Lytechinus pictus: one gene and its partner. The protein of the gene in region 1 purifies or fractionates together with the protein of each later gene. This does not show direct contact. Links are inferred from orthologs where the notes say so. Each region holds a gene or a part of one and is shown in the gene's direction. Other genes may lie near its edges.

Region 1 (16,095 bases):
AGTTTTCTTTTTTGTTTATGTTATTTGATATAGGTTCAACAGAAGGGCAAGTTACTGACCGTTTTCTCTTCGTCACATTACTGCGGGGGATCGAATGAAGCAGCATGCATCCTGGCTGATAGGCAGAAATTAAGAACGATAAGACTCGATACATCATGAGACATTCCATTGACTATGTGAAATCAGAAAAATTGATGACGATCCCTCATGATGTCGGATTGAAATGCATGGTGCTTCAAACATGATTTGATTTCTATTCTGATGAAGTCATGCAAAGAAAGAGTAAGGGCTTGATACCCAATGGGAGACACAAATTGAAATGTTTCATGGTTCTTTGTTCTAAGGCCATGTTTCATTGTCTCTGAAACTGGATTCTTTTCTCAGGATGCAAGCAATTGAGCCTGATGAGTGCAAATATTGACAGCCAGAGTTTGTAATTAAGGTATAGAAATGATACAATGTCATCTTGGCATGCAATCTGGGTTTACTAGTTGTGAATATGAAGCTCTATTGCGAGGTTACACCTGAATGTTTTCAAGATGGGTGTTGGAAGTCTTGCGCCCAATGAGCACAAATTTTGATAGCCAGACGTTAGAAGGTACAAATATTATGACATTGTTACCTGTTGTCTTGGTTACTTATTCAGAAAAGGAAGCTCTAGTGTAGGATTTAATATGAATATTCTCAAGAGGGGTGCTAAATTCTAGGGATATTCATTGGTTTGATCATGGTGCAATATTGCTTGAAACCATTAGTTTTGACAGCATGAACCACATACTGTTGAAATTTAAATTTTGATGCTGTTTTGAGAGCATTGGGTGATTTTATTTGTTGGTACTGGTGTTGGTGTTAAAAACACAATTTAGATTGTCTTTCATCGCTCCAAAACATACTTTTGAGTTTACAGAAATGAGCAAATAACATTATTGACAGCTCAAGACTTCACAAGGTTCATTCCAGTACAAACTTCGTTTTCAATTTTGTGCTATTCTGACCTAAAAACTGACAAAACACCAAGACTTGGAGGTCAACACCGGATTCGAAATCATCCTCAAGGAAAAGTTCTATTACATTTGGCCTAGATAGGATTTGATATTTACCTTGTTAACACCCTTGGGGTAAAGCTGAGGAACTTTACTTGTGACTTATAATTGCCAAATACATTTAAACGCCTTTTCTAGGTAATATTAATTTTTTTCAGTAACTCCATTTCCTCTCCCTTTAGTAAAATTCAAGTTCTGCCACCGTATTTTACATGTATGGTCAGTCTTTGATATTGGATGGAAAGATTTTTAAGCTTGATGATAAGCTTTAAAGACATGAATTAGGTTTGGAATGTCTTCATTTATAAGAGAATCTTGACATTTTAGATAATCCTCACATTCTTTTTTGAAATCCTAAGAATGATTTTAAAAAATGCATGCTTTCTATGTTTCTTTAAAAGATTTTATATAACTATAACACTGATGGGGTTCAAATTTTGATTGTTTTTGTTTTTACAAACAAAAATGATGTGCAATATTCCTTAAACTATTGTTTGTTCTTAGTTAACATAATATTTGAATACACTCTATGAGTTATATTATTTATGTGTAAATATTTCATGTTTGTTAATCAAAGGAACTATTTTCTTATTAAGCCAAAGTGATTGTTCTTTTACTGTGCATAAAGTATATATGCTTTGGTCTTGGTACCATTCATTTCATCAAATTATTTTTTTTATGGGGAAACATGTTTCCATTATTTTATCTGGAACAAGTAGTTTGCTGAAATAATACCTTGAGAATCAAAGGCTTGAGTGTGTGATATGATTAGAGAGTTTCATCTAGGTAAATCAAATATCTGAAATCCCTCTGTGATGTTGAATTTTGTAAAGCAAGTGATGAAAAGAATCTCTAGAAATAACAATGCCTCTTTAGTACTGACTTGAAATCCACAATAAACAATTGTGATTTGATGTGTGAACTGATGCCTTTCCGGGTACTCTCATGAAAGTGGAGAGTAGAACTTGGCAAAATATTGCCCTCATTTTCTTCACTAGTTGTCTATAGGGAAACCTGGAAGAGGGCAATATGACAGATATTGCCTGCTCTCGCTTTGGAGTCAAGGCAAAATATGACCTTTTATTTTGCAGCTAAAATGTCTTGTATAGGTAGTAATTATAATTTGTTTTGTTACTTTTATCTCATAATGACTTGTTTAAAGATGTACAAAGTTTTTGATACTGTTTATACTGAAATGATGATATGTACATTTGTGAACAAATGATTAGTGAATGCCTTTTTAGTGCAAATGAGTTGGGTTACCTGCAACCAATGCATTGACTAGAGTTTTGTTTCAATCAGAAACGATTAATTTCGTTTTAATTTTAACTTAATTACCCAGGGTAGCTACTTCAGTTGTAAGCTGTTCTCCCAGTGGGTCCTGCATGATATAATATCTTGTTATACAGCGTACAGTCTTTATATTATAAATGTTCGCAGACATAAATGCATAAAACTGCTTGGTCTATAAGACCGTTTTGTCTAAAAAATTTGGGAATTCACTTTATCATATAATGAATAGATAATTTTTCTAGTTAGTCACATTGCATGCTACAGTACACATCCTATTTGAAAGATCCCCCCTCCCCCCAAAAAAAAGAGAGATAACCAACATGAACAAAATATAATGGAATCCACATTAAAGATCATCAAGAACCTGACAAAAATTTACACTAAATTAGTAATTTTAAAACTACATCGACCAAGGAAATGTAAAAATGTGAAATGATTGTTTACTATTAATGTACTTTTATTTTAGAATGGATATGGGGGGGGGGGGTTAGTGGAGACAACTTGTTGAACAGTGATATGTATAAGAAATTTATCAGTATTACTTAAAGAGTCTTTTTCAATTATGATGCACAAGTGCACTTGTATTACTTTGTAATTTGAAATGCTAGCAGATGCACAAAATAATTATGCTTTTATATAATGCTGTGCCTTGTTACTTATATACTCTGACTCTTAAATATTTAAGCCAATCTAGAGTAGTCGCAATGAGCAATAATATAGTCTTGAAAATCCAGGTGGAAAATTAGTATTGTATCATGGATTGAATTCTGACATAGTATGTGCAAGGCAAACATTGTGAAATAATGAAATTAGTTGAAATCTGATTACCAGTATGCTGAAAATGCAATTCATCTTTCTACCATTTGAACACAATGCCTTGCTTATTTTGTTGCTTACTGAACAATTGCTAATTTTATAACAAATCACATTGGCACAGTTACTTGTTTATTCATACATATATACAAATACTTCATGTTTACTTTGTTGGCATCTGTTGGAATTTATTTTTATGATAGTGACAATTATTGTTTACCTTTGAGAATGGTGCTTTCCTTTTTAGACTCTTAGACCCGGTTCTCATTACTCTTTCTAAAACTCATTTGCTGGAAACCGGTTCAAATAACCAGTTTAGAAAATCGCTTTGCTAGCGTTTCCATTTGATCACCCGAAAGTGGTTTTCAAAATCACTTCACGTAAAGCGGTCTTGTTGCTACGGGAACGCTCTCAGTGGGGTGACACGTTTCATGCGAAATTTGAAAATGCAGCGTAGGCATTCTACACACAGTGTGTGGAGTAGCGCGCTCAAAATGTGCGAAGATCGCTTCCCGAAGAACTTTTGTGTCCTCGTTTACGCTAAAACTGGATTAATGGCAAAAAGAAGCTGCTGAAAACTGCTTATCTAATAAAAGAGAGCCAATGGAGTAAATTATGAAGTCAAAAAGGGGGCCTAAGCTTTCGATCCTAGCAGAATCTTCGTCGGAGGCAAAATGACAAACATATAAAGTGGAACAACCATAATATAGACCACAAACAAGCTACAGCAACACTAGAAACAAGGAGACAAAAGGGGCATTAGTGAGTAGAGAAGACCAATCAGGTTAGTGAAGGGGATGAAAGAAAAGGAGTAGGCAGACACAAAGGGAAGTTAGTGTAAGTAAGGCCAAGAGGGATTAAGATAATGAGGCAGGCAACATCAAACAGGATCTGGAACAAAACAGTGATAGAGGGATGAATAACTAGAGAATTAATGAGAGGTGGGTCAAACAGGTTCCAAAGAAAGGCCTGTTTGATGTTGCCTGCCTCATTATCTTAATCCCTCTTGGCCTTACTTACACTAACTTCCCTTTGTGTCTGCCTACTCCTTTTCTTTCATCCCCTTCACTAACCTGATTGGTCTTCTCTACTCACTAATGCCCCTTTTGTCTCCTTGTTTCTAGTGTTGCTGTAGCTTGTTTGTGGTCTATATTATGGTTGTTCCACTTTATATGTTTGTCATTTTGCCTCCGACGAAGATTCTGCTAGGATCGAAAGCTTAGGCCCCCTTTTTGACTTCATAAAACTGGATTAACGAGGCAAAGCGATCTTCAAAACTACATTGCGAGGTGGTTTTCCGAATCGGTTTGGAAGATCGCTTCCAAGACCGCTTTGACCGATCTCATAACACTTTTAACTAGTTTCCAGTAAACTAGTTTTAGGATGGTAATGAGAATGGTGTCTTACTCCTGACACATGTCTCTATATTTTATTCCATTGATGTGTGTATTACCATTTTACTGCATTAGCATATCATTTGTCAAAGCAAACTTTTTGAAAACTGTTCTTATCCAAAAGGTGCACATATACTTACTATAACTACAGTGTTTAGATGTGAGTGTTCTATATGTGTGTGCATTTTAAAAAAAGAAATATATTTAACAGAATTTACCTTGGTTTTGAAAATTTACATAATTATATTTTAACTTAAATGCTTTTTTAAAAGACAGGTTCATGAGTTCTTATCTTATTTTTTTTCACTTCAAAGAAACACCATTGATTGGACATTAACAAAAAAACTATCTGATTCCAATGAATTATTATACAATTATTGTGATAGCTTTGGTATGAATTTTTAGTTGAAATTGAAAAGCAAGTAAATTTGAATACAAGTGAGATTTTTACCAATCACCAATAAACTTTGTACTTTGTTCATTTGTGCCTTGTCATTAATATAAACATTTGTCTGGATCTGGGGAATGTTACACAATTAGCGTGATTGAGAGTCATGCTTAAACGGCAACGTGCACAAGATATTTAACACGTAATCTGATTAAATGATACACTGTACTTCACGTCTCGTGTGCAATTTCTGGGCCCCTTTTCAAATTCATTAAGACTTGTTATAATGAAGAATGCACAATTTCTGTAACAAGTTTGCTATCAGTCATTCAACTTTAAGGATTTCAGTAGCTATAAACTGCTGTTGCAAATTCGATAACAGTTCTTATGATCCAGGCTCCTGAACATTATGGTGATGCATTATTATCCCGCATGCAATTGAAATTTAAGTCACACAAATCTTTGTGGAACACCCCCTTAGATTGTAAGAATAATTATCTTGATAGTCTACTGTGTATTAAAGTTGGCAATCACAGCTGCTAATTGACAATGCAAGAAACTGTTTTGAAATTGCCTGGGTAAGAAATATTCCATTCACTTTATACATGTATATACATGTAACCTTTTAAAACTGCATAATAATTTTTTCCTTGTCAAGAGTTTTTCAGAGCTCTTGTTTTTGTAGTGGCCCTTTTGTGTTTTTGCTTTATATTCATTTGGTCTTCAAGCAGTTGGTCAACTTCTCAGATGGTCTAATACCACATGGGCGTAAACCTAGTTAGTCTTCTAATTGCTGTTTGGTCTAATACACATTGGCCCGTATTCTGAACTTGGGTTTGAATTAAACCATGGTTTAAATTTGTGGTTTAACTATGGAGAGTCAAGTTGGACACAAATTCCTGACAGCACACATCCCATTAATTAACTCATTTTGACACACAAATTGTTCATAATTGTCTATTGAAGTATTCTGAAGTATTTTTCTTCATTATGAATGCAACAAGAAACAAAATAGCAAACATAAGAGATATACAGTATCAACAAAATTTTTGAATTATTGGCTCCCCATAATTTTAGCACAGAGATAGACCGTGGTCTAAGTTAAACATGACTTCAGAATACGGGCCATTGAGTCTAATGCCCACATGGTCATGGCCTCCGGGAAACCATGTTTGCTTGGGGTACTGAAGCACCCCCACAAGATTTTTCTGGGATGTATGTCTCGTATGCTATTTACCATAGGCAGCAGCCCTCTGTAAACCAGGTTGACAAGCAAAAAACTTGAAAAAAGGGTTGTTGATCCCAAATGACAGAGATCTGGGAGCAATTTATCACCTTTCCCCCCTTTTGCTTGTCAATTTTTTTTAATGACAATCCACTGAACAATATCCACAGCACTCCTTATTTAGAAATCGTTCCCGGGGCCTTGCACATGGTCAAGTTTCAAAAACTTCATTTGCTTATCCTGCTTTGTCAAATGAAAATGTGATTTATTAATGGGTTATCTGACTTTGGTACACAAAGTGCTTTTAGACCAAGTGGATAGTAGACAATGGATAACGTCTGATATGACATAAGACAAAATGGCTATGTATTTTAGACAAAGTGTTTAGTATAGAGGAACTGGTTGGAGGCCAGTTGGGGTAAAGACCATAGATATATGCAACTTGGTTTATATGTCTATGGTGTAATTGTGTAGGCCAATCATTAATTTACCCTTGACATATATCACATCTACCCAGTAGCGTACCGTGAACCGCAGGAGACAAAGCATTGGGGGGGCAGTGCATTGTCTGTGAACAATGCTTTGCCCCCCCAATGCTTTGTCTCCTCCGAGTCACGGTACGCTACTGCATCTACCCCTGCCGAAAATGGGGGAACAAATTAAAATAAATCCAAACAGGTGATCAAGCTGTAGCAGTGTGAGAGTGAGACGATCTAGGAATTCCCTATTATTTTATCAAGTATATAAAGCTGGATATGAAATAGTTATTTCATGATTATAATGGAAGATGGCTGATCGCATTTCATTTATTTTGTGCATTACATTCTGAAAATGGCCTTTATCATATGCCCATGTTTTTTTGTTTAAAATGTGGCTGTGTGCTATTCAAGTTCCGGTATGTTTTTTTGAGAGACCTGCATTTACATGTACATGATCAGGGCCCTGTACAAACATAAGGAAAAACAATTTAATTTAATTCCAATCAATTCAAAATTTTGTGCATGTGGTATACCACAGCTGACAGTAAAAAGTAAAAAATCATATCTTTTATGTATATGGTCCTTGTAAAAGAATTTGAATCCTATTTTTGGTTGATAATTAAGTTTTCACCACTATATCTCTGTGCTACAAACATTTTTCCTTGCCGCTCAAATGAATAAAATATCAGATACACTTATGATTATTATAATTTCATGGGCTTTTTAAGATTTTGTTGCTTATACATAATACATACTGGATTTAGGCCTACGTGAACAAAAATATTAAAGAGATGAGATTTGAGAGAGAGAGACGAGGGAGAAGGGAAAAGGGAGCTAGAGAATATGATTAGAAAAATTAAAAAAAAAAGGAAGAGAAAGCAGGGATTGATGAGAGAGTGAGAAACAGAAGAGAGAAGGGGGGAATAAAAATGGCGGCGGTATAGAGCATTTATTACAAATCATCTTGCTCTTCCCGTCTTTTTTCGGTCTCCCTTTGGGGCCCTTCGGTCCTCGTCTCCGTTTTATGCTCGCGGTATAGTCTTGTTCAGAAAAGCTTTTCTCGCGCGCTCGCTCAATGCGAGTTACTGTCACATGTGTCGCAATAGTGACGTCTGGTAGATGTGATTTGAGCCCTTCTTTAGTCTGTGACCTCCTATATTTAAAAGATGGGGATTCTGGAAAGGATTGCTGAAATAGAGGCAGAGGTTTGTGATTGAATCCGATTTCTCTCAGTTGTGCCCATACTTTATACTAGTAATATAACGCCAATTGTCGGTAAAAGACGGAAGACTGGTGCAAATTCTTTCATTCTATTGCATGGTCCCATTCGTTTACTTTTATGTAGCTTGCACAAGCAATGTGACACTGCACTGTGTGAACTGAGTGAAATTGATGTGAATGTGAGACTGAAGTAAATGTGTAACTATTAGACCATGTCTTTCAAGACGAAATGGGCAGTTCAGGCAGAAAATAATGGCCTAATTTGTTCACCTCTGATCCTGTGACTGATTTAGATCTAGGCCTACATCGTTAGGCTTAATTTAAAGTTACTCACATTACGGCCTAAGGCTAAGTACGGGACTGAATTTGGATTTGAGTGGACTGTGTGGGAGCTGGGAGTCTGCCACTCACACGTATGCAGGGTGAAATACGGGATGAAATTTAAAAAAAAGAAAAATGAAATACGGGACAATCGACAAAAAAAGATCAACAAAGAAGGCCACAAAATGTTAGACTTGTGAAGAAAGTATAAAGAATTGGGAGGGTGAACAAAAGAATGAAGGAGAAAATTAAAGAAAGTTAAAATAACAGAAGGATGAAAGAAAGAATAAAGAGAGAAAAGGCGTTTCCGTCATTCTTTGAATTGAATATAGAAAGGAAGGGAAGATGAATAAATGTGTGAAAGACAAAATAAAGGAGAGAAAAAAAGAAAGCAAGAAAAAAGGAGGAAAGAAAAATGTTTCCTTTATTCTTTGAAAGAAGCAAACGGAAGAAAAACAGGAAGGGAGGAAGGAAAGAAGGAAAAGAATTATAAGAAAAAATGAAAGAAAGGAGGAAAGAGAGGGAGGAGAGAATGAAAAAAGAAAATAAAGGAACGCGACAAAGAACGAAAAGAAAATGAGAGGAAGAGAGAAGGAAGCAAAGAAAAGTTTAAGGAAATAAAAAAAGGAAATTTGATAAAGGAGGCAGGTAAGAGAAAGAAGGAAAGAAAGAAAAATGGAACACAGAGAGAAAGGATCAGGAAAGAAAAATAGGAAATTAAGATAGATAGAACAAAAAAGGGCAAGCAGGAAGGATAGAAGGATGAAGAAAGAAGGATAGAAAATAAAGAAAAAGGAAAAAAATTAAAACTTCAAGCAATTAAAAACGATCCAATGATCTAACAAATATCTATTTGGTGTTTTTTAAATATATTCTTAAAATTAAAAAAGCTAAAATGTTTTAGAAATGAATAAAATTTCAAAGTGAAACATTGTCAACTTAAAAATTAGATGAAACATCGCAGCATCATATACACAACAAGACTCAAAACGAAAGCTGAAAGAACTAGATCTAGTTATGAAAACTCAACTACTTGTTCCTCCGTTTACATCTCCAAATCAGTAATCTGAGAATCCATGATATAATTATACAAATTTCCCGCCGATTTGTGATTATTTTGGTTGAAAAACTGTTGATCATGTAATTGTTTGCACCATTGAGAATCTGCTGCTATCCTACATGCCTAGCTAGTAGCCTGCCACACACAGGCAGGAGGCCAGTTTGTTTGCAATGTATTGGGTTAGCAAGAAAATCACAGCAGAACTTGCAAAAGTTTAGTTATCGATTTTATTGTTGTCTCTGCTTCGTCATCTGTTGGTTAATTGATGAAAATTCGTCACTTTTAAATGTATTAACTACATTTTGTTCAATATTCTGAAATACGGGACAAATAGGCGTCCCGGAAAGAGTTTGTTGATGCGATCCCGGGAAATATTGGAAGTCTGGTCACGCTTCACGTATGCGAGGTTAGTAGGCCCTATGCTATACTAACTTCGCACTACGAATGTGATTACCGTAAGTAACGGTGTATTAACCGCACCTTTTTCTCGGCGGGACAGAATCAAAAGTCGGGGGTGCGGTTTATACACGGTGACAGGTCTGAGCCAAGCCAATCTCAGCCCGATACCACTACCAGTTTTCAACTCGCGTCGGGTGGCCGAGCATAGCCGCTTGGGGCAATCCCGTTTAGAGGGGTATGAGCCGCGGGTATAAAAGGGAAGCAACTATGACTACCGGTATCTACCGTAAATGTCCCTCAAAGTTATATCACGGTAACAAACGCACCTACCTTCATGAAACTGACTTTTTTTAATGGTGTGACTCTGTCTTTGTTGTCATTTTTTAGTCATCGCGGCAAAGTTCAGACGCCAATCGATCGCACAGCGCGGTGCAGCTAGCCGAATAAGACATGCATGTGTAATGTTTATCGCAACGTCAACGTAAGCTGGCGCTTTACCTTTCCGTGGAAGTTATTTTGTTTGACAAATTATTGGTATTATTTGACAATTAATTTCTTTCATTTGCCTTTCCTTCATTTCTCTCTATCATCCATCATCTCAAAATCAATCTTCAATCCCCATCTTCACTCCTTCCGACTTTTTATTTTTAATTATTATTCACTTTATTCCCGCCCAGAGCTCCCATTGAAAATACGGTATACCGGTACTAGCATTTTTCCCCTATTTTGCTGTCTGTAAGATACCGCCACACACGTACTGAGAACTACCGGTAGTGGTTCAAAGCAGACAAGAAAAACACCTGAACAAAATCGCAAATTTCTCGTATCTTGAACCTTCCCGTATTCCCTTGTCTAAAATTCATGTCAAGACATTGAATGCTAGACAGAATTCTGAAAGCAAAAGTGGGGCTGTGATGCAGGAAATATGATATGAACGATCTTCTCGTATGGGTGAGCCCCCATGTTGATGCTGGTATCGGTACTTGCAATGAACACCGGTACCATATGTGTGTGTGTGAGGTGACTCGGAGTGTGGAAGTGGCCAATAATATCGGCAACTTGCAGATAAGTGACGAAGCGCTGATTTCCCATCATTTTTTACCAGTAATTCTTCGATATTTTTTGGTTCTTGACTCTTTCTTAAATACGCATATTAGAGATAGAAAGTAAGTTTGATTAAATTTTTTTTTTTTGATTTTTTTTTTTTTTTAATGATTTTTTTTTTTTTTTTTTTCCATCCGAAAATGGGGGGTGCGGTTAATACACGGGTGCGGTTAATACACCGTTACTTACGGTAAACAATGGATTTTTGAGTTGTCGGTTAACATCACTTCATAACAGGAATAATGTTTGTCGAAACGCGTTCCGCTACTCACCAGGGCTCTTTCCAGTGACGGGCTATCCATTTTCAATTTTTTAATTATTTGTTGATAATGAAAAGCACATAAAAAAAAAGCACAATCGCTTACCTCGGCACGGAAAGTGGCTTCGCATGTCTCTTCTACAGAAAAAGGAAGGCCGTTGGTGGCGCTAATACATTAACCTTTATTCAGCTCGTCAGTATTTTATCTAAATTCATTGTATGTGCAATTCCTATGATTGTTTGATGAAATATGGACACTAATAAATGCAATAACTAAAAATACATGCTTTTAGATTATTATTGCTGACGATAAAACTTTTTGGAAAACATTCAAAGTGGTGACACATGAAACAAAAATATAGAAAATTCTACGTGCCTTGAACAAAGCCAGCAGTGCAAGCTACCGTTCGTTTGTCAACAAACGTTCCACCAAAGTCTATACAATAAAAAGATTGCACACTTTGCTGACTTCGCATAAAGCTTTGCACAGTGACGTAACTATGGGGGAGGTGGGAGGCAAAGGAGGAAAACGGGAAAGGGAGAAAAAGAGGGAGAAAGAAAGAGAAACGTAGTGGGGGAAGAATAAATTATTGTTTATTAACTATGATATATTATTCAATTCAATTCAATTAATTTATTGTCATGTTCAATGATTAAAAACACAAAAATTGTCCTCAGACTCTTAACAAAAAGTGCATTGAAACAAAAAATAATCACAAACTATAAATACATCAAAATAATACATACATGTAATATAAATATATAAATAAATATACCCTGTATGCATGCTTGAGCACCCACGACACGACACCAACCCCTGAACGACTGTATGAAACAAAGTGTAAAACCTTGTAACAGACCCACGGAGAGTATACCTAGGAAATTATTTGGGTGTATGGAATGACCCAAATGAACTACATCAACAAATATTCAGGGAAAACATAATTTGTGCCTCAAAAGAACAGTGGAGTTATGACCTAAGACATGTTTTCATGAGGTAGTCAAAATATGCAAACACTCTATTTGCAAACTTTTTGCTAGTCCACTCTGTTCTTCTCGAATCTTCCGGGCTTTCAGTGATGTTCATCAAATGTAGACTTTGAGACAACATGACATTTGCAAGAGCTGGTAATATGCTTCAAAGGATGCTGGTAGTTTCAGTCAGCCCATGGTGCTCTGTCGTTCTGGTCAGGCATTGCTGCACCAGGTCATCGTCGTCCTTGAAAAACAAGATTTCCATCCATGATTTTTTATGGATCATTTCCGGCTTCTTTGATGAGGTCAGGGACATCTCTGTAGATGTTTGGGAGATCAAACATGTGGATCAATATATCCTTTTTTCAAGAGGGTAGTTGTCACATACTTGCTGAAAGTCCTAAGGCTCTACATGCTGCGAGGTAGTAGGGTTCTGTTACAACAGCAGCAACAGTCTTTACTCTTTAGGCTGCTACACTTTCCAGGTTGGGAAGGCATCATATCCTCTAGGAAATAAACATATGCTGCATGAAAGAAAAAGATGTTTGAATGGTTCCCTCTTGAGTTGTACAAGAGGTTACAACCTCATCCTGTTTTCCTTCAGGAAATCCTCAGAGTAGGTCTGGAACTGGCCATGATTATCAGACTTCTCATCTCCACCATGGGCAAATGCTTTTGACAAATTCTTGATGAAGACAAAGAAGTCTCTTTGGTTAGGACTTGAAGGATAGACTCTTTTTCCTTCAAAGAGTTCTTCCTCTGTAGTAAGCAATGTCTTCTCACACACCTCTGTGTACTCTTCTAGACTATGAGGTCTACAAAAAAGTAGTAATGTTCTCCAATGACCTGCGCTCTTCATCACATAGGTTCTCCCAGTGGTCAATAACCGGTGGCAAGACTTCTTTTTTATCTGAATTTCCAACAATTCATGCCATTTTAGTTCTGTTGCAGCATGGTCTGACCTTGTGTTTCTTACATTGCCTCAAAGCTTCTTTCCTACCACACTGGCTTCTTATTCTGCATCCTCAGTGTCTGTAAGAACTTCTTTAAAGGTGACAAGGGTATCAAATGCAGATTTTGTTGTGATGTTTCTCAACCCCAGAAATAATATCTTTAATATCACCATATACATGTAGTTTAATTTCATGTATAATGTGGTGTCATCTAGTGATGTGACATCTTGTATTATCTGCTCTTGTGCTAGATAGAGCCTTGGAGTATTCATGTTTTCCATAAGTAGACTTCGCAGGTATCCTGATACATGTACCTCCAATAAGATGCTTCACAATTGCATTGATGCATGGTTAAACTTTCAACACAGCTGCATGTACGTGATTGTCAAGTAATTCATAAATATTAGCATATAGCCATGTTTTGTGAAATTAGAATTGTAACAGTTCTTTTCATTGTTGTAAGTTTCTCTTTACATTCTCTCACCCTAAGTACATGTATCTCATCCAGTTCCTTGTCTCTATGTCTCACAGCAGTACATTCTTTAATTGTCCTCTTCCAAGCAGTTCATCTAACAAGTTTCATGGTTCATTCTTTCTTCCATTTTCTTGACTTTTTTTCAGTAGTTATTTTCTTTGTTTTACTCCTTCTTGTCCTACCTTCTCTTTCTTTGCTGGGATTATCTCCTTTAACAATTCCAAAACATTGTGATTTTAAGAGGTCTTTTTCTTCTACTATTGATAGGGTGAATAGAAAGGGAAATGAAGTAGAGAAAAGAGAGAAAATGATATTAGGTGATAAAAGCACTTTTTGTCATAAATCATCATTATATGCTTCATTAAATTTGAAGCCCCTTTTAGGATGCATATCTGCATTGGGATCCTTTATCCCCCACCAAACAGGGATATCTTGGCCTTTGGGAGGAGTTCGTACCCCAATCGTGGGCAACCTCTTCATCATTTTAATACCAAGTTAGGCAGCAGCTAAAAGCAGAAAGTTACAAACAACCAAGTAAATAAATATAGATATGAATGTGAAAGTGTTTTCTCTTCGTATTCCTCTCTTTTGATTCAAACAGTTGGTTGCTTGCTCCATTCCCAGAGGAGTGGAAAACATCTCAGAAAAAAATACAGTAGACTTGACTTGTTTATCTTTTTGGATTCACAGATGGCTCGAACCCAGAAGAACAAGGCGACAAGCGGTCATCTGGGTATGCTGAAAGCCAAACTTGCTAAGCTGAGAAGAGAGCTTATTACTCCTAAAGGAGGTGGAGGAGGAGGGGGAGGAGAAGGTGAGTTTACTCTCAAACATAAATTCAGTGGAGTCCAGTGTTCTATTATGTAAGCAACTGGGAATTCTGTGCAATTTTAGTCACACTTGCTAATAATCCAGGAGGCCACATATGGCTTACTTTGTTTTATGTCCAATACTATTGGAAACTATTAGTATTTTAAAAATTCAATAAAACCATATTCTTATTTTTTTCCCACAGGTTTTGATGTTGCCAAGACTGGAGATGCAAGAATAGGCTTTGTTGGTAAGATTTGCATTTTTTTAATGGAAGTTACAGGTTTTTGTCAAAATATGTTTCCTACACATTCTTTCAGAACAAGTTAAAGTACAGATTTTCCTTTCACGAAAATCTACCCCTTTTAACCCTAACAAAAGACAAACTATATTGCGGTAGCTTATGTTTTTCAAGGTTAAGCATTTTTACTCTTTATCCAACTATCTAAAAATTACAATGTTTGTGTTATTTCTTCAAACATTTTAATTTTCTCTCTTTTGTTGGTTGGTAGGGTTTCCCTCGGTGGGCAAGTCTACCCTTCTAAGTAACTTGGCTGGTGTCTACTCTGAGGTAGCTGCGTACGAATTCACTACACTCACCACAGTACCTGGTGTTATCAGATACAAGGGTGCTAAGATTCAGGTATGTTATCAATGAGTGATTTCAAGTTTGGTGTTGGTGTAGAATGCGAGTAAGATGTACTCCCAACACCAAATTAGAGGGGTGTTTCACGAAGAGTCAAGTTTGAATTGGAGTTGCACATAAATTCCCATTTAATGTGTGGTGTAAAAGGCATCATCGCATTGGTCAAATCATGCAAAGAGGACACGCACTAGTGATCATTAATCAATAAGATTGCATGTTGTAAACCATTTGTGCATCAGCATTTAAGTATGAATCTAAATCATTCTAAGCTCTTTGTGAAACACCCCCTTGATTTACAAAATATACTAGTCACTTTCGAAATCCATTAACTCAACACCAAATTACATATAACATGATTCTCAGCAAGAGACCCATTTCAAACTTGATGTTTATAACGATCACCCTTGCACCATTACCAGAAATCAACGTCAATCTTGAAGTCACCCAATATTTCCCCTAATTCTTTCATGGATATCGATATTGTCAATGGCAAACTCCTTTTGCATATTAAAGCTATTTAAGCTTTGCTTGTCATCAACCTTCCTAATAAAATGTCACAGAAACAGTGCAAGATTGCGAGGCTACAGGCTTAATGATTGCTCGGACATTGAGAATGACCCAATTTATGCTTCTATAATGTTATTTTCATCTCTTTTGTCTTTTCTCTTTCAGTTACTTGATCTGCCTGGTATCATTGAAGGAGCTAAAGATGGTAAAGGAAGAGGAAGGCAGGTTATTGCAGGTGAATATGTATATTTTTTTTTATCCTACATGAATTAAATCCTGTATGATTATTATCTGAATATAATTTTTGGAATGTTTTTAGATTTTACATATCTTCTAGGCAATTCTCATCCTTCTATGAGATTAACGATTGTGGTAGTGCATTGATGTCTGTGTAAATGACAGACCTGTTAACTGTTTCACAAGAAATTATTATTTTGTTATTTCTTTTCTGTCAAAGAAGAGCATATTAATATTGAGGCTTGTAATTAATTCCCTTCTATCATATTGTGTTTTTGTTTCCAGTGGCAAGGACATGCAGTTTGATCTTGATTGTACTTGATGTTCTCAAACCCCTCAAGCACAAGAAACTGATTGAACATGAACTTGAAGGCTTTGGCATCCGGTAAGCCATCATGCTTACACTATATATCTTGGTTGGAGGGGGGGTGGGGGAAATTTAGCCCCCTTGACATAAGACATAAAGGTGAATTCTAATTCATGCATATTTTAA
Region 2 (16,095 bases), on another chromosome or scaffold:
AAAAGCCTTACATATAAGTACCAAGAAAATTATGCCTTTGAAAATCATATAGCACTGGTAAATGTTAATGTGTATTGTCAGTTACCGACAAGTAATGATAAAAATGTTCAATTCAAAGAAAGGAATTAAGAAAAAGAATTTTTTTTTTCATTGAAATGTTCCTAGAAACTCGGGTATACTTCCACATCAAGCTCACTTTCATGTGAAGCCCTGCACAGAAGATACAATGCAATGATTCCACACATTTGACTTCCATGTGTTATCTCTATGGCAAATTAAGTGTAATGTCAGTTACCGTAATGTCAGTTACCAGCATGGTTGTGGAAAAATTATCATAGCCCACAAAAGACAAAAACAAATTGTTTAATATTTTGACACATCTTAACCTAGTAACTGAGGTATATTTACATATTCAAATTATTACTCTATCTACTCAGGGACATGAGATATTTCAATTTTAATGAACACCCTGAAATTGCATGTCCTTTTGCGTAATGTCAGTTACCGACACATTTTTGCTTGCTGATGCGTAAAAAAATGTGGTTACATAGGAAAACTTAGTATCAGAGTATACAGCAAGGTTCACTTTATTAACTCTATCAAAAGCAAACTCCCATCATTTGTTGTTTTAGAGATACACACAATGAAAGGTGTGAAAACATTGTGCCGTGTAATGTCAGTTACCGTGAAAATGCCCTTAGGTGATTTCAACGCTCATAGTACCCTCTGGGGCAGTGACAAAACCGACAGAAATGGACAAGCCATTGAGCAATTTATATATGAGAATAACTTAATAGTATTGAATGATAAAACAGGAACTAGACTTGATCCTTGTACTGGAAAGCTTTCGTGCTTAGATCTATGTATGTCCTCCCCATCACTGGCCGGTAAGGCGATATGGAAGGTTATGGAAGATTCCTTTGGGAGCGATCATTTTCCAATTATTATTCAAATAACACTTGGAAAGAAAGGAAAAAATCATGAAAATCTAAGTAATCAGGCCAAAGATAACATGTCTCATGAACATATCTCTTTCAAGAATGTTAACTGGCCCATATTTGCATACAAATGTGAAAATATCATAAAAAATGAAATAATTAAATCTGAAGATGGTATTAAGAACATTTTTTATTCATTTATGGAACGCTTGAAGGAATGTATTCATGAAGCAATCCCGAAAAAAAGAAAGACGGGGAAAAAATCCTGTCCCATGGTGGAACAAGGAATGTACTGAAAAGATTAAAGAAAGAAATAGAATAAGAAACCATCTATCAAGAAAAATCACACTTGATAGAATTAACGAATACAAAAAAAAGAAGGCAGAAGCCCAACAAGTTCTCCGGAAAGCGGAAAGAGAATATTGGCAAGCTTTTTGCAGAAGACTAGACAGATTCATGCCAGAGACAAAGATATGGTCATGTATAAAACGTTTAAATGGTGTACCTGTCAAAAAATCACAAAATATGCCTATTTTGATGGAGAAAGGTAAAGCCATTACGTCCTTAACAGAGAGAGTAGAGATTTTTGGAACTTATTTCCAATCCTTAGGACAGAAAAAAAAAGATTCCAATAAAACATTAACCAAGGAAGTACAAAATTCTTTCTACCAAAATGAACATGTTATTAATGAACCTTTCTCGAAGAATGAATTTGAGAAAGCAGTTATATCTACTAAATTTGCTGCTCCAGGAAAAGATAATATTCCATACATTGTATACGAAAATATGCCAAAAAGCACAAAAGAAATTATGTTGAACATTATTAATAGAATATGGGAATCCGGGGATATCCCGAGTTCTCTAAAACACTCAATTTTAGTGCCAATCTTGAAATCTGGTAAGGACTCAAAAAATGTTATCTCCTACAGACCAATATCACTTACATCTTGTTTTGCCAAAGTTATAGAGCGTATGATAAAAGATAGATTGCAATGGTACATAGATAAAAATAACTTATTGCCTAATTTCATCAGCGGTTTTAGAAAAGGTCGTAGTACTACTGACAATATTGTTTTATTAGAAAATGACATTCAAAAATCTATCAATTGCAGTGAGCACACTCTTGCAGTATTTTTGGATGTCGAAAAGGCTTATGACAGTCTTTGGATTGATGGATTACTGTACAAACTCACTCAATGTGGTATAGGAGGAAATATGTTACATTTTTTAGAAAATTATCTAACAGAACGTACCTTTCAGGTAAGAGTTACAAATACTGAATCCAGAACATTCCAAGTCCATAACGGACTCCCCCAGGGGAGTGTTCTGAGTCCCCTTTTATATAATGTCATGATGAGAGATATTCCAATTGATCCTGAAGTGACAATATCCACATATGCTGATGATTGTGCAGTATGGTTTTCTGGAAAAAATGTAGAGAATATTAGATTAAGGATACAAACTTATCTAGATGTATTATGTACCTGGTTTAAAGACTGGGGCTTCAATTTTTCTATTGAGAAGACTGTTCCGGTATTTTTCACTAAGCTCACAAACGTTACTCCTCCAACAGTCAAGTTTGAAGGGAGTATACTCACTTATAAAAATAATCACCGTTTCCTAGGAATGATATTTGATAGTAAATTGTCTTGGCATCCCCATATAGAGAACGTAGTTTCAAGAAGTAAAAGGAAATTAAATATATTGCGAAGTTTAACAGGAACTAAATGGGGAAGTTCATCTAAGTCCTTACTTATGGTTTACAGGGCAATTATTAGATCAATTTTTGATTATGGTTGTCAAGCTTATGATAGTGCTCCAGTATCTACAAAAAAATTGTTAGACTCGGTGCAATATCAAGCACTCAGAATATGTGCTGGTGGGCTGCCATTAACATCGCTAGTTTCACTGCAGGTGGAAATGGGAGAACCCCCTTTAGATTTAAGAAGGCAAATGTTATCAAGCAAGTATAGACAAAATATAGAAAGACATAATAATCACCCATTAATAACACGTATCAAACCATGCTGGCAGTTCGATTATCTTAAAGGTAAGAATGTTAGTAAACCGTTTGGTTATAGGCTCCAATCCAAGATAGGAAAAGAAATTAGTATCGAAAATGTTATTTCTCCATCCTTTCCCCCTTGGTTATTTTGTCCACCAGTTGTATCTACTGAATTGAGTTCACAAATCAAGAAATCGGATCATCCAATACAATTACAACAATTGAGTTTGGAATTGATACATACAAAATGGTCACACCAACTCCATATATACACTGATGGATCCAAAGCCCCTGAAAAGGGGATTAGCTCAGCTGCTTTTAATGTACCTTATTTTTCCTTCTACCAAGGCAAAAGACTATCGAATTTCACCTCCTCCTATAGGGCGGAATTAATTGCGATTGTTCTTGCACTGGAATGGATAGAAGATTTAGATATATATACAGGTGTTGTTATTTTCAGTGATGCATTAAGTGCACTTTTATCTTTACAGAATCGGAAAGACGATCCTATTATCACAGAAATTCTAACTATTAGTACAAGACTCAAATATAAAGGTATAGAGATATACCTGGAGTGGATCCCTGGTCACTGTGGAATAAAAGGAAATGAAATAGCAGACTCCTGCGCAAAAAAAGCTTTATCAAATAAAATAGAAATTCATAATCAAATAACATTATCAGAAATTATGCAACTTATTTCAAAAAGTTGTAAGATAATTTGGCAAGAAAGATGGAATAAAACTAACTCAGCACTGAAAGAACTGCAACCATCAGTGCTATCCACATATAAATGTAATCTAGGGAGACAGGAAACTGTACTCCATCGTCTCCGTTTTGGAGTCGCTGGTCTTAACCAAGATCTACTAAGATTAGGGATCCATCCAACAGGGTTTTGTGATAGATGTCCTGAGGTAGAAACTGTCAGACATTATCTTTTACATTGTCCAAAATATATAATTGAAAGATCAATGCTCCTTGTAGAATTGAATGAATCACAGCCAGGACAAATAATGGAGTATTTAAAAAAAGATGACCCAGGGATACAGAAAGCATTTTTACGTTTCGTTTCAAGAACGAAACGTTTTAGTAAGGAGTGATATGTGCTATTATTATATTGTATTGTTTATAAGAAATATGAAAGGATATGCTTGTACAAGTCTAATGTGAAAAGAATATATATATATATATATATATATATATATATATATATATATATTGTAAAGAAATGGATGAAGAGAACAATGGTAGGCGTAGCTTAAATCAAGGTTCCCCAGAGCTATCTACCCTTTGGAAAAATTGGTGATGCCGAAAAAATGTCTCTGCCGGGAATCGAACCCGGGCTCCCAGCTTATATATATATATATATATATATATATATATACATAATAATGCATGATATAATATATACAAAATGATATTTTCTGCACATATAACTAACAAAGCCCACAAGTGTTTTCGCCTTGTTGTTGTTGTTGTTGTTTAAAAAAAAAAAGAAACAAATTATTTTAATGTTTAACCCATCTGTAAGCACAGGTACACTAGCGCCCCCTCGTCTATGCATGGGTGACCTAGGCATTTTTATGTCCGAAAAATCGGCACAATGTACCGTGCTGACCGGTATGATTGCATCTTAGAAAGGGCAGGGCAAGCGCAACTAGTTGGAACTGGGCTGAAGATAGCGGTTTGTTTTTGGTGAAGATTTGTTTATATGCCATTTTGACAAGAGTTAAGACAAACTTTTATACTATATTCATCATTTTTATAATAGAAGGATGCACAAGAAAAATATTTCATATATGTATACATCATATTGGTAATAATATGAGAAGTGAGATTTTATAGATAAAGTCAATGGCGACAATAGTCAAATATGACTAATTGCCACTCAAACCAACATAAGAAGAAGAAGAAGCTCTTCTTGCACTTCACTAGGTGGTACGTATACTGTACGCGTACCGACTGCTTATGTGCAGCGCTGAGCTTGATCAAGCGACCGAGTGATTCCGAAATAGGTGTAAAACTTTGTAAAAAAGTGTCAAAACGGCAAATATTCAACTTCTACTGGACTTTGGAGGCTCAGATGCAAGTATTTTAGGTTGTGAATTATTTAGGGTGAGATTGTACATGTTTGAAAACCATTAAACGGGGAGGTGCGAAACTACACTAGCGCCGCCGATTGTACGAAAGGTTTTTTCCAGGACCTTCTTTCGTGTCGCCCATCTTTTGATTTTATGATGCGCTGTGTAGCTAGTGTAATGTCTATGCGGGATTATTATTATTAATAAATTAGATCTAACGTTAGATCTATTAACCTCACAATACGTGTGAGTGGATCTAGACCACTCACACGTATTGCGAGGTTAGTATTAGTATACTAACCTCGCACCACGAACCGCGTTTGGCAGTGGATTTCTAACTACCGGTAGTGGGTCGCGCGTGCTGGGATCTCACTTCTTGGGTCCACAACACACGACTTCTATGGCTTGAATTTTCTGTGCGCGGCGGCATGTAATGAACCCTTGGGTGGATCTCGACTAGACTTCTAGAGTACATAGACAGACTCTAGTCTATTAAAAGACTATAATATTAACAACATAATAAATTACAAACAAATAAAATTCATTTTTAGACCTAGATCTACTTACATGTAGATCTAGAACCTAGCTAACATTAACGTTAAATCAGTTTTTATACAGTTTCATGAGATATCACTATCAGTATCAGTTTATCACATCATTTTGTAAGAAAAATTTTGTTTACTTTGGACAAATTAAGAATAATATATGTTCGCAGGTAATTTATTTGTATTTCACATGGCACATCATAATAAATGGACGACACGAAAGACGGTTCTTGCAAATTAAGACCCTTTCATGCAATCGGCCCCAGAATCTGAGAAAGTCACAGCAGCCGAGCAGGAAAATGTAGGCTTGTTGAATGGGTAATGGGTTGGGTTTCTTGACATTAGAATGAATTAAACGAAAGGGACTATATTGCACAAACCCTGGTCATTGCTTCACAATTACTTTTGCTTCAAGGAATAACTTTCTTTTTTTGAATAGATTTTAAAATGAAATAAATTTTTGGAAATTTGATTTGTCTATAGGCCTACGTACATGTATAGTCTAGGCTTGCATTTTAAGATAATTTTTTATTCCAAGCTAAAGACTTGATTGTGAACTACATGTATCATTGTCAAGATTAAAGATGTTCAATATGTTTTTTGTTTTTTTTTGCATAGGGTGCCTGGGCTGAGAGGGTAGGATCAAACCGAGCCCTTGACTGTGGCTGTGGCATCGGACGGATCACCAAGCATCTACTGTTACCGCTCTTCCAGCAAGTGGATATGGTAGAACAGACACAGAAGTTTTTAGACGAGGCGGATCAGTTCATCGGAGAAGGAGCCAGTCGGGTGGGACAGAAGATATGCTCCGGTCTCCAGAACTTCAAGCCTCGTTTGGAGCACTACGACGTGATCTGGTGCCAGTGGGTCCTGGGTCACCTCACGGATGAACACTTGGTGGATTTCCTGAAGAGAGCGAAAACAGGACTCGCAGAAAATGGAATCATCTGCGTCAAGGAGAATATTGCCAAGTCTGGGGTGGTGTTTGACGACCAGGACAGCAGTGTAACAAGGTCCAAAGCACAATTGAAGAAGATCTTTGCGCTGGCAGGGCTGACCATTTTGAAGGAAGCTGACCAGAAACGTTTTCCGTTGGGTTTGTTCGCTGTGAGGATGTATGCCTTGAGATGATTGGTGAATATTCCTTTTTATATCTATAGACCAACTTAACAAGACTCATTAACAAGAAAACATTTGTATATTTTTTTGTACAGTACCATGAAAGTTTTTTTTGTTGTGTTGATTAACCTCAAACAAAAGAGTGAAGGTTTGAAACCTGACTTGACATAACCACATTATACATATCCAGTTGTAACTGGTAATGGTTGTGGTCATGGTACCAACAGGTCTTTTTTATGAGGATAACTACAAACTTTTTTTCATGGAATCTATTTGTCAAGTTTGTCATTCCTGGAAGTAATATCTGTGCAGGTAAGGTTTTGGGGTGCATACATGTATATATGTTATGAAACGACATCAAGATAGGTAATTGTACAACCCACCAAGATAACAGTTGAAACCTGTGACGTGCTCACAGTGATTCAACAAGTATTTGTGTACTGTTTCTGCCGTCCATGCTTCTATAGCTCACACATGTGTAATCCTATTTGACATTTAAAAAAAAAATATATATATATTTTCCGAGCAGAATGTAATTTTGAGCTATCAAGTTGCACCTCTACTATTTATCCCAGCATTTTCATTTGGTTTTACTTCCACTGCATGTTACATCACTTTATATTTTAATTCTTTTTTAAACACTTTCCTTTATTTAAGCTTCATCTTTTCATACTTCTATGATTGTTTTAAAATGATAATGAATATTCCACTTTAATATTGCACTTGATAAATCAGAAAATTGTCTGTTATCACTCTACAAATATATGCATGTAATACCAGGGTCATCACATCCCAGCTTGCCTGCACAGAATGCATTTTGTCCACTCCCTGGGGAGCATTCCAACAAGAGTTTCCAAAATCAATCCAGGCATACTACTCTATTGGCTTCTGCATTTCATTGGATACCTGGGTTGAGAGTGGCAATATGTGAATTGACGATTGCTAAGGATTTGAATACATGGCCCTTTGTTTATAAAGCTAAAGTAAAAAAACCATTACATGTACACGTGTACATCAAGAAGCTCCTCAGATCCTTTGGAATTTTTATATTAAAAGGAAAGGAATTCTACACTTTAAAAATGTCATTACTACTTTTATACTAATTTTTAATGCCAAAGCTAAATCTAAAGTATTGTTTCAAAAATATATTTTGAAAATTATATGATTATGATATGATGATAGGATATGTTTATTATTAATGTTGTAAAAAAAAATCACATTTTGTTTCAATTTACAGTAATTTTTATGAATATGGTATTGGATGTTTTGTAGATTTAGGATAAATGATGAACTGTTCATGTACATTTTCATGTACATGAAGTGTTGTCTCCATTTATGGAGCTGTGACTTGCTATTCATGGAGATAACTTTGTAAGTGACCTACTACTCTACCTTCATTTGAGCTATGTGGGGGGGGGGGTTGATAGAGAAAGACACGGGGACATGATTGTGCAATCATATCTGCACTAACTTCACCTTTACAACACCCCCCCCCCCCCTTCTTCAACAAGATTTACCATAATGGTATTTAGAGGTTTACCGTAATGGTATTATTATAAAGAAAATTACCCTAATGATATTTGGAAATATAAGAGAATACCGTAATGTCATTATGGAGCTACATGTATTCTGCTATCATGGATACCAATCAAAACCTTATTTCCTCTTTTTTTTTTTCTTTTTGTGCACAACTATTTACTAATAATGTGTAAAGCATTTCCATATTGAATGCAGAATAAAAGAGCATCTATAAGTGCCATGGCCGGGGATCGAAACACAGACTTTCCATGAATAGCCAGGCGCCTTGACCACTCAAACCCCCGACTTTCATAGCCAGGCGCCTTAGACCACTCTGCCACAGCACCCTGATTTTGATTGGTTGCTTTGCCCTACATTTAAAGGCTAATTACCATATTATAAAGAAAATTACCCTTATGATATTTGAAAATATAAGAGAGTACCGTAATGTCATTATGGAGCTACGTATGTATTCTGCTATCATGGATACCAATCAAAACCTTATTTCCTCTTTTTTTTTTCTTTTTGTGCACAACTATTTACTAATAATGTGTAAAGCATTTCCATATTGAATGCAGAATAAAAGAGCATCTATAAGTGCCATGGCCGGGGATTGAAACACAGGCTTTCCATGAATAGCCAGGCGCCTTAATAGACCACTCAAACCCCGGACTTTCATAGCCAGGCGCCTTAGACTACTCTGCCACGGCACCCTGATTTTGACTGGTTGCTTTGCCCTACATTTAAAGGCTAATTACCATATTTTTCAGGTTACCTTCATCAGTATTCCCTTATTCCCTGGTGAACATTTCTTGCATGCTAAATAATCACCAATGAACATTTGCTGGTGAAATTCACTTACCTCAAGAAAGGATCACCAGATTCACTCGTAGGAACAGCTTTATGAAATGCCCCCCCTGGTCTAGCAAGGGTGTTATGATGTACGTACTTATCGTCTTTACCAATAGTATTTTTTATACGAATGGGCCCAGAAATTTGAATACTTGATTAAATGACAATTTACATGTACATGTTTTCCTTTATGCTTCCATCCATTCTTAACAAGAAATCTATTTAGTTCCTTTTGATTGCATCTTCAGAAAAGACTAGTTCATTTTAATGTTCTTTGATTTGAACATAAGGAAACAGTATCCATGTATTAAAATGAATTATTATTTGTAAAGAAAGTCAGTCTATATTTTGTTGCTGAGTAGTTCAGGTAAATGTATTTCTGATAATCCTCTATGAGGGTTTCAGTTCAGATTTTCATGAGCAACCTTTTGTAAAATATTTGAAGTTGAAAAAAAAATTACATTACATATTGAAAGCAGCTTAAACTGTTTTTCAATCGGGGGGGGGGGGTAGAAATTTCCTGTATTTTATAACTTAAGATTAATGTGTATTACAAAGAAATTAACTGAGTAAGGCTGCTACAAATCATATCTGATCAAGTGTAGTCATTGTTTAAATTTTTTTTAATGGGCAAAATTTTTATTGCCAAAGTTTTTCTCAGTGTACTGTGTAAACCGAGAACTGATTTACCGCCCTCCCCTTCTGACAAAACTAACAGTATTAGATTTATACTACCAGTCTTGTACATGTAGCGTGCTTTATCAATTGGTGTGCAAACTGCAAATTTTTATTTTGCTTGATTTATCATACTTATTTGAGAATGTGGCATTATTTTTTGAAATCTTTCTTGTAATAACCTGTTCAAGAAGGTAATCAAAAATATAAATGAACATTTATTATTCAGTTCCAACAAAACACAGGCTTTATTATTCAAATTGCTCAGTTTTATATTTTAACATATATGTATGTATGGTGGTTATCAATTATCCACTCTAAAAGGATTTGTTTACATTGATCCTTTCTCACTTCTTTTTCTAATTATGTGACTTTAAATGTATATTTTATGTACTTATTTTGTTTGGAATCACTGTGTTGCATCTTCTTGAATTATATAGCAAATGTTATGAAGTTAGCTCTACTTGTAACTAGTAGAATAAATATTTTTAGATCGAGATCATGTATGGGGTTTTCTTTAATATTGTTTTATTCTGATTTTATGGTTCTGGGGACTGGGGAGGGGGGTGTTTTAGAGTCATGCTTAAATACTGACATGCACACGATGTGAATTATGAAACATGCAATATTATTGATTAATGTGCATTAGTGTGCATGTCCTCTTACTTAGTATGATTTGGCCAATGTGGTGATGCCTCTTGTACTGCACGAAACTGGGGATATACATGTACATGTAAGTGCGACTCTAATGGGGTTTTGCTAGAAACTTGTAATTGATCGCAAATCAATTTTAGGTCTCAAGATCTATTGAAAGTCATTCATTCTAATGCAAATTCAGAATTGATAGTCTGTTTCTTGCATCAACATGTATATATTAATTTGCTTTAGTTGAAATTGATCTATCACTTGTAAATTTGCAATTGATTGCAAATATTTTCTTGCAACACCCCTTTAGTCACACTTAAATCTTTTTGAAACGCCCCCCTGGTGGGTGTTTCATAAAGCTGTTCGTAAGTTAAGAGCGACTTTAAGAACGACTGGTGATCCTTACATGGTAAATGGTATATTCATTGGCGATGGTTTAGCGCGTAAGAAAGGTTCACCAGTCATTCTTAAAGTCGCTCTGAACTTACAAACAGCTTTATGAAACGGCCCCGTGGTCTGCTGTTACACATAGTAGTGATGCATTTTATAGCATTGACATATATGGGAAGTGATTTTAGCAGATAGGATACAATGTATACTTCTACGATCAAAGCATCTCAGAAGAGAGATACTGGCAAAAAAGTGACCCACCACTCTCAACCTCTTCCTACTTACTTGTCTGTGCTCATTGGCATTCCTTTTTGTATTTCTATATGAAGACCAGGGTCCCGTCTTACAAAGAGTGGCGATTGATCCGATCACCCACAACTAAATGTAAATCCATAAATGTCATAATTTTTCATAGGTAGAAAAACGTGCACTACATGTATGTTCTTTTGTAAACATCGAGGAGCACATTGAATTGTCAAGACAACAATGAACGTATGAATACATCATATCTAGAAAACATTTTGAGAATGCATGTGTATTTTATATGTGGTGTAGCTGGCTTTCCATAGTTGTGGTTGATCGGATCATTCACAACGCTTTGTAAGACGGGGCCCTGTTCTATCCAGCAGCTGAACTTTACACTTTACTGAAGTTAGTTTGCATTTTCAATATGAAAAATGAATTATATTCATGGTTATTTTAGAAGTGCAGAATGAGTACATTACTTTCAAGTAAACATGTACTTCATGTCAATTTTAAACATGGCAATGAAGACTTTCAAGAATTTTCTCTCTTTTTTTCTCTTTTATCACTGCTGCCATGATATTAATCTATAAATCATAAATTTGAGGCACTTATTTTGTAACTTCTCTCTAACCCTGTCTCTGATTTAAAATTGTTATGTTGTGTATTTGTTTCTTGCATGTTAAATGATTTATCTGTCATTACAGTTATGTAATTAATGTTTAATAAGAAATTCAAACTGTACTTATTCCAATAATATTAATAATTATTGATTATCAAATCAATTTCTCAGAGGCTTTGAAAATTTGATAGTGCATTGTCTCCTGTGTTTGTAAATTAAGAAGGAATGTCATCATTTGTATGGTGATGATGATCGTTATTATGGTTATGATCAGATGATGATGATGATAACGATGGTGATGATGGTGATGATGATGGTAATGATGATGATAGTGATGATGATCATGATCATGATGATGGTGGTGATGATGATTATGGTGATGATATTGATGATAGTGATTATGATGGTGATTGTGATCATTGGCTTCAATAATGGTGATGAAAATGATGAGGATAAATACATATTGATATGATGGTGGTGGTGGTGAAAATACTATGATGGCGATGTGGTGGTGGTGCTGCTGCTGAGAGTGCCCTTAGATGACCTAAAAGAAACAAAATTTACCAGACAACAAAATCTTCAATGAAAGATCGGTATGTTGTATTAAACACTGGCTGCTTTAACCTACAAAGTCTGTTTTATCTGATAGATACCATAGTAGCATTCAAAGACGTGCCTCTCAGCCAATCAAAATCAAGGAAAGTTTCAGACAAAATACTGTTGTAACGCCCTCCTACACTGGAACAAGGCTCAGCACATTGTTGAAAGAGCGACCTCTACCGTCATTTGTTTTAAATCGCTCTCTTGTTTCGGCGGTGTGATGTATCACCAAAAAACGTAAATTGTGGAAATAAGGATATCTCCTATTCATTATGAATTCGGGCGAAAAATGACTACACATAAACAAACTTTGAAAATAAGGAGCACAAACAAAGCAGATCGCTGATGTATCTAGGAAGTTGACCACAACAAAAAGTCGAGTTGAATGAAAAGAGAAAAATCAAACAAACATAATCGGATGTAAATCAAGAATGCCATGACACGTCTTTTGTTTAATTTCAGAAAACAGTTAAAATACATGCTGGGCCCCGTTGCATAAAAATTATCATTATGGTAACTATGGCCATGAATGGTATATACCATGGTAACGATGATCAACAGCCAATCAAAATCAAGGATTCAATGCAAGTTACCATTCATGGCCAAAGTTCACATAATGGAACTTATAGGCAACGGAACCCTGGGCCCTGTCTGACAAAGAATTGCGATTGATCCGATCAACCACAACTATGGAAAGCCAGCAATGTCAACATCTAAAATGCAAGTTTGTTCGAAATATTTTATAGATATGATGTATATGCATACATTCATCATTCTCCTGAAAATTCGGCACTGTGATTCTCTTTGTTTACTAAGGAGATAATACAAATTTCCTGTAGAAAAAATTAAGGCATGGGTGGATTTCCATACAATTAAGATTGATTGGATCAATCGTAACTCTTTGTAAGAAGGGTCCCTTGTTGGTATAGATATGAAGGAACCGATACCGTAATCCACTCTTTATTTCTTTTGTATTTTATTAAGGGCCTTTCCACACGTGAATCTTGAATCATCATGATGATTTGCAATTCGTCTTTAGAATCATCGGACCTTTCACACGAAAAATTCGTACCGTAATTTGAGTGAAACTTAAGTGGAATTCACCTCCGGAGTAGAATTTGTGATCGTGATTCTAGTATGGTTTCACACGTGCTAAATATTCGTCATTAGCCTTATTTTTCACTGGAATCACCATTCAAATTACGATTTTTTTTTACCGTGTGAAAGGGCGGTTACTCTCATTGAAATGTGAAACAAAGTTTGATATCTCACTGGAAATGTGAAATTACCATCATGTTGTAACATGGAAGATAATAATAATGGCGTGTCTCCTATTGTTAAATCTGAAAAAAAAAATAACATTGTATATTCATCTCATTTGCATAAAAATGGGGTTTGCACAAATTATAGTTGACCGTAGTTTACACCCGATTTTGAAGAAATTTTCATTGTTAATGCTTGTTTGATTTTTCTCTTTTTATTCCTATCAACTTCTTGTTGGGTATGAATTTAACCTTTAAAAAATCAAGTTCCCACCCAACGCCTCTTTCGGTTATTGAATTGAATTTATTTCCATAAAAAAACTAATAACAATACATATAAAATGATACATGTGAAATTGACAAATGAAAACGGGAGGATGGCCCTACTCATCAGCATCAATCATGGTGTTGCTGGTCTCGGGCACGGAAATTCCTTTTATTTCCGTGGTTTGGGGTCCTCAAATACCCTCAAATACCAGGTCGTTATGTCACTGACGCGGCTTTACAAAAGGGAATTCCCCGTTTATTTAGAACGCCGTTGCATCGGAATTTCCAGGGCGGTTTTTGGCAGATGAATTGATTTGTGATAAGTACAATCAATAATTGGTTTGAGAACCCATCAGCCGTTATTGTTTGAATGTACGTGCTTTCAGACTTAAAGGATCTATCTGTCAATAGGTTTTCTCTTCCCACAGTCTGCATGCAAACACGCGTGGAATTTACTCAGCAGTAGAGCTAATATGAGGATTTTTTTTCTCAAAAACCTTGGGTTTTCTATTTCAGTTTTTCATCGATTACATAACATGACAATCCATGAATACCATAAGAGTCTTGTAACCACTGGCCTGTTTATAAACTGTCGCATAAAGAATTTCAGGTTCTAAACAATTTTTTTTCTCTCTTGCAGGTAATGCTGTAATGGTATATAGTAAAAGAAAACCTTAAAGGGATGGTCCGGGCTGAAAATATTTATATCTAAATAGATAAAATATAAAATTCACAGAGCAAAATGCTGAAAATTTGATCAAAATCGGATAAAGAATAACGATGTTATTGAATTTTAAACTTTATCAATATTTTGTGAAAACGGTTATATGCACATCGTCATGAATATTCATTAGGTGGGCTGATGATGTCACATCCCCACTTTACTTTTTCATAAGTTATTACATCAAATCATAAATGTTTCAGTTTTCATACATGTGTAAATGATGTGTCTCCATTATGATGAAATAAGTTGTGACAATAAATAACTAACGCACTTAATCAGTTGTCAATCCAATTGTTTTAGTTCTTGGTATAATTTTTTTTAATAAACCTAATTTCATATAATAAAATACAAAAGAACGAGTGGGGATATGACATCATCAGCCCACCTAATGAATATTCATAAAGACATGCCTAGAACTGTTCACCGGAATAATGCAAATCTTAAAAATTAAATAACTTTGTTACTTGTTATCCGATTTTGAACAAATTTTCAGCATTTTGCTTTATGAATTTTACTCTATTTATTGAGATATAAATATTTACAACCTGGACCATACCTTCAAATCACCCGAGATTTTTAAGCTAATCGGTAGCTTAATTTCTGCAATAATCATGAATACAGTGAAGTTGACTCTGTAGGCGATGGAGAAAAAACAATATTTTTTACTTCTTGCTAAGCATGTAAAATGCATAAGAAAGTAATATTTTCGGGGTTTTATCTTGAAATCTTCGACATTGTAAGGGGTCAGAACTTAATTTTGTGAAAACCTCCACAAAGTTACGCCATCCTTATAAACCACTGATCAGTATACTGCATTGACATCATGTTAATATAAATTAATTATCTGCAAAATCTCCCACATATAAAATCTAACCATTAAGTTCAGCGTTTAATATTTGCGTTTTAGAAAATATGTTTATGACAAGCGGAAATCACTTGAACGCGCTGGCAGTTTTTGAAATGAATATCCTGTATTATGCTTTTCAAAAGTGAAGAGTTTTGTTCCAAAAGAGGCTAAATCCACCTTTTTGGGGGTATTTTTCTGTAAATATATTTTTTATTCACCACTTTCCCTTAGCCACTGCTGTTTTATTTGGATATATATGGACTATCATCTTGGATTAATTAAATCATGTTGTCAACAATCAAGCATTCATTATTAATGTCTAAAGAATTTTTTAATTCAATTTTTCATGGATTTAGCTCCTTTTGGAACAAAACCGTAGTAAATTGTCAATTTTTGCCAATTTAAACATGTTTCATATTGGAAATTGAACACAAAACACATAAATATGGCTAGCATGTACATTTCACATCTTTTCTGATATTTATCCATTGAAAATTACAAAAAAAAACACGATTTTTGTCATCTTTTCTAAGGACGATGACTTTTTGATATCTAATTCGAAAAGGACCTAAGTCCAAAAATATTCATTAAAATTGTAAAATTCTGTTATTTTCATCAAAATTTGCACTGATGGTGTGAACTTTATCCACAACACGTACCTAAAAATTAAATGCATAACTTTATGTAACATAGGAAAATAACCAATTTTAAATATCCGTCTAGTGGTTTAGCTCATTTTGGAACCAAACTGTTTTGGATTTAGCT

Evidence for each region.
Region 2: the proteins of developmentally-regulated GTP-binding protein 1 (region 1) and N-terminal Xaa-Pro-Lys N-methyltransferase 1-like purify together in Homo sapiens (affinity purification with mass spectrometry; 3 studies listed by BioGRID and IntAct, counting the BioPlex papers as one, with this or other methods). This does not show direct contact. The link is inferred for Lytechinus pictus from reciprocal best matches to the Homo sapiens genes DRG1 and NTMT1.

The regions. Positions count from the first base shown.
Region 1 is NC_087246.1:19,625,580-19,641,674, reverse strand, and holds the start of developmentally-regulated GTP-binding protein 1, read left to right. Parts: upstream 1-7,679; 5' UTR 7,680-7,801; coding exon 7,802-7,840; intron 7,841-14,092; coding exon 14,093-14,216; intron 14,217-14,417; coding exon 14,418-14,462; intron 14,463-14,724; coding exon 14,725-14,855; intron 14,856-15,530; coding exon 15,531-15,600; intron 15,601-15,887; coding exon 15,888-15,987; intron 15,988-16,095. Other genes in the region: serine/threonine-protein phosphatase PP2A catalytic subunit 3-like, read left to right, coding at 34-159. UniProt on the Homo sapiens protein: Catalyzes the conversion of GTP to GDP through hydrolysis of the gamma-phosphate bond in GTP. Appears to have an intrinsic GTPase activity that is stimulated by ZC3H15/DFRP1 binding likely by increasing the affinity for the potassium ions.
Region 2 is NC_087259.1:13,083,848-13,099,942, forward strand, and holds N-terminal Xaa-Pro-Lys N-methyltransferase 1-like, read left to right. Parts: upstream 1-6,188; 5' UTR 6,189-6,289; coding exon 6,290-6,697; 3' UTR 6,698-11,284; downstream 11,285-16,095. UniProt on the Homo sapiens protein: Distributive alpha-N-methyltransferase that methylates the N-terminus of target proteins containing the N-terminal motif [Ala/Gly/Pro/Ser]-Pro-Lys when the initiator Met is cleaved.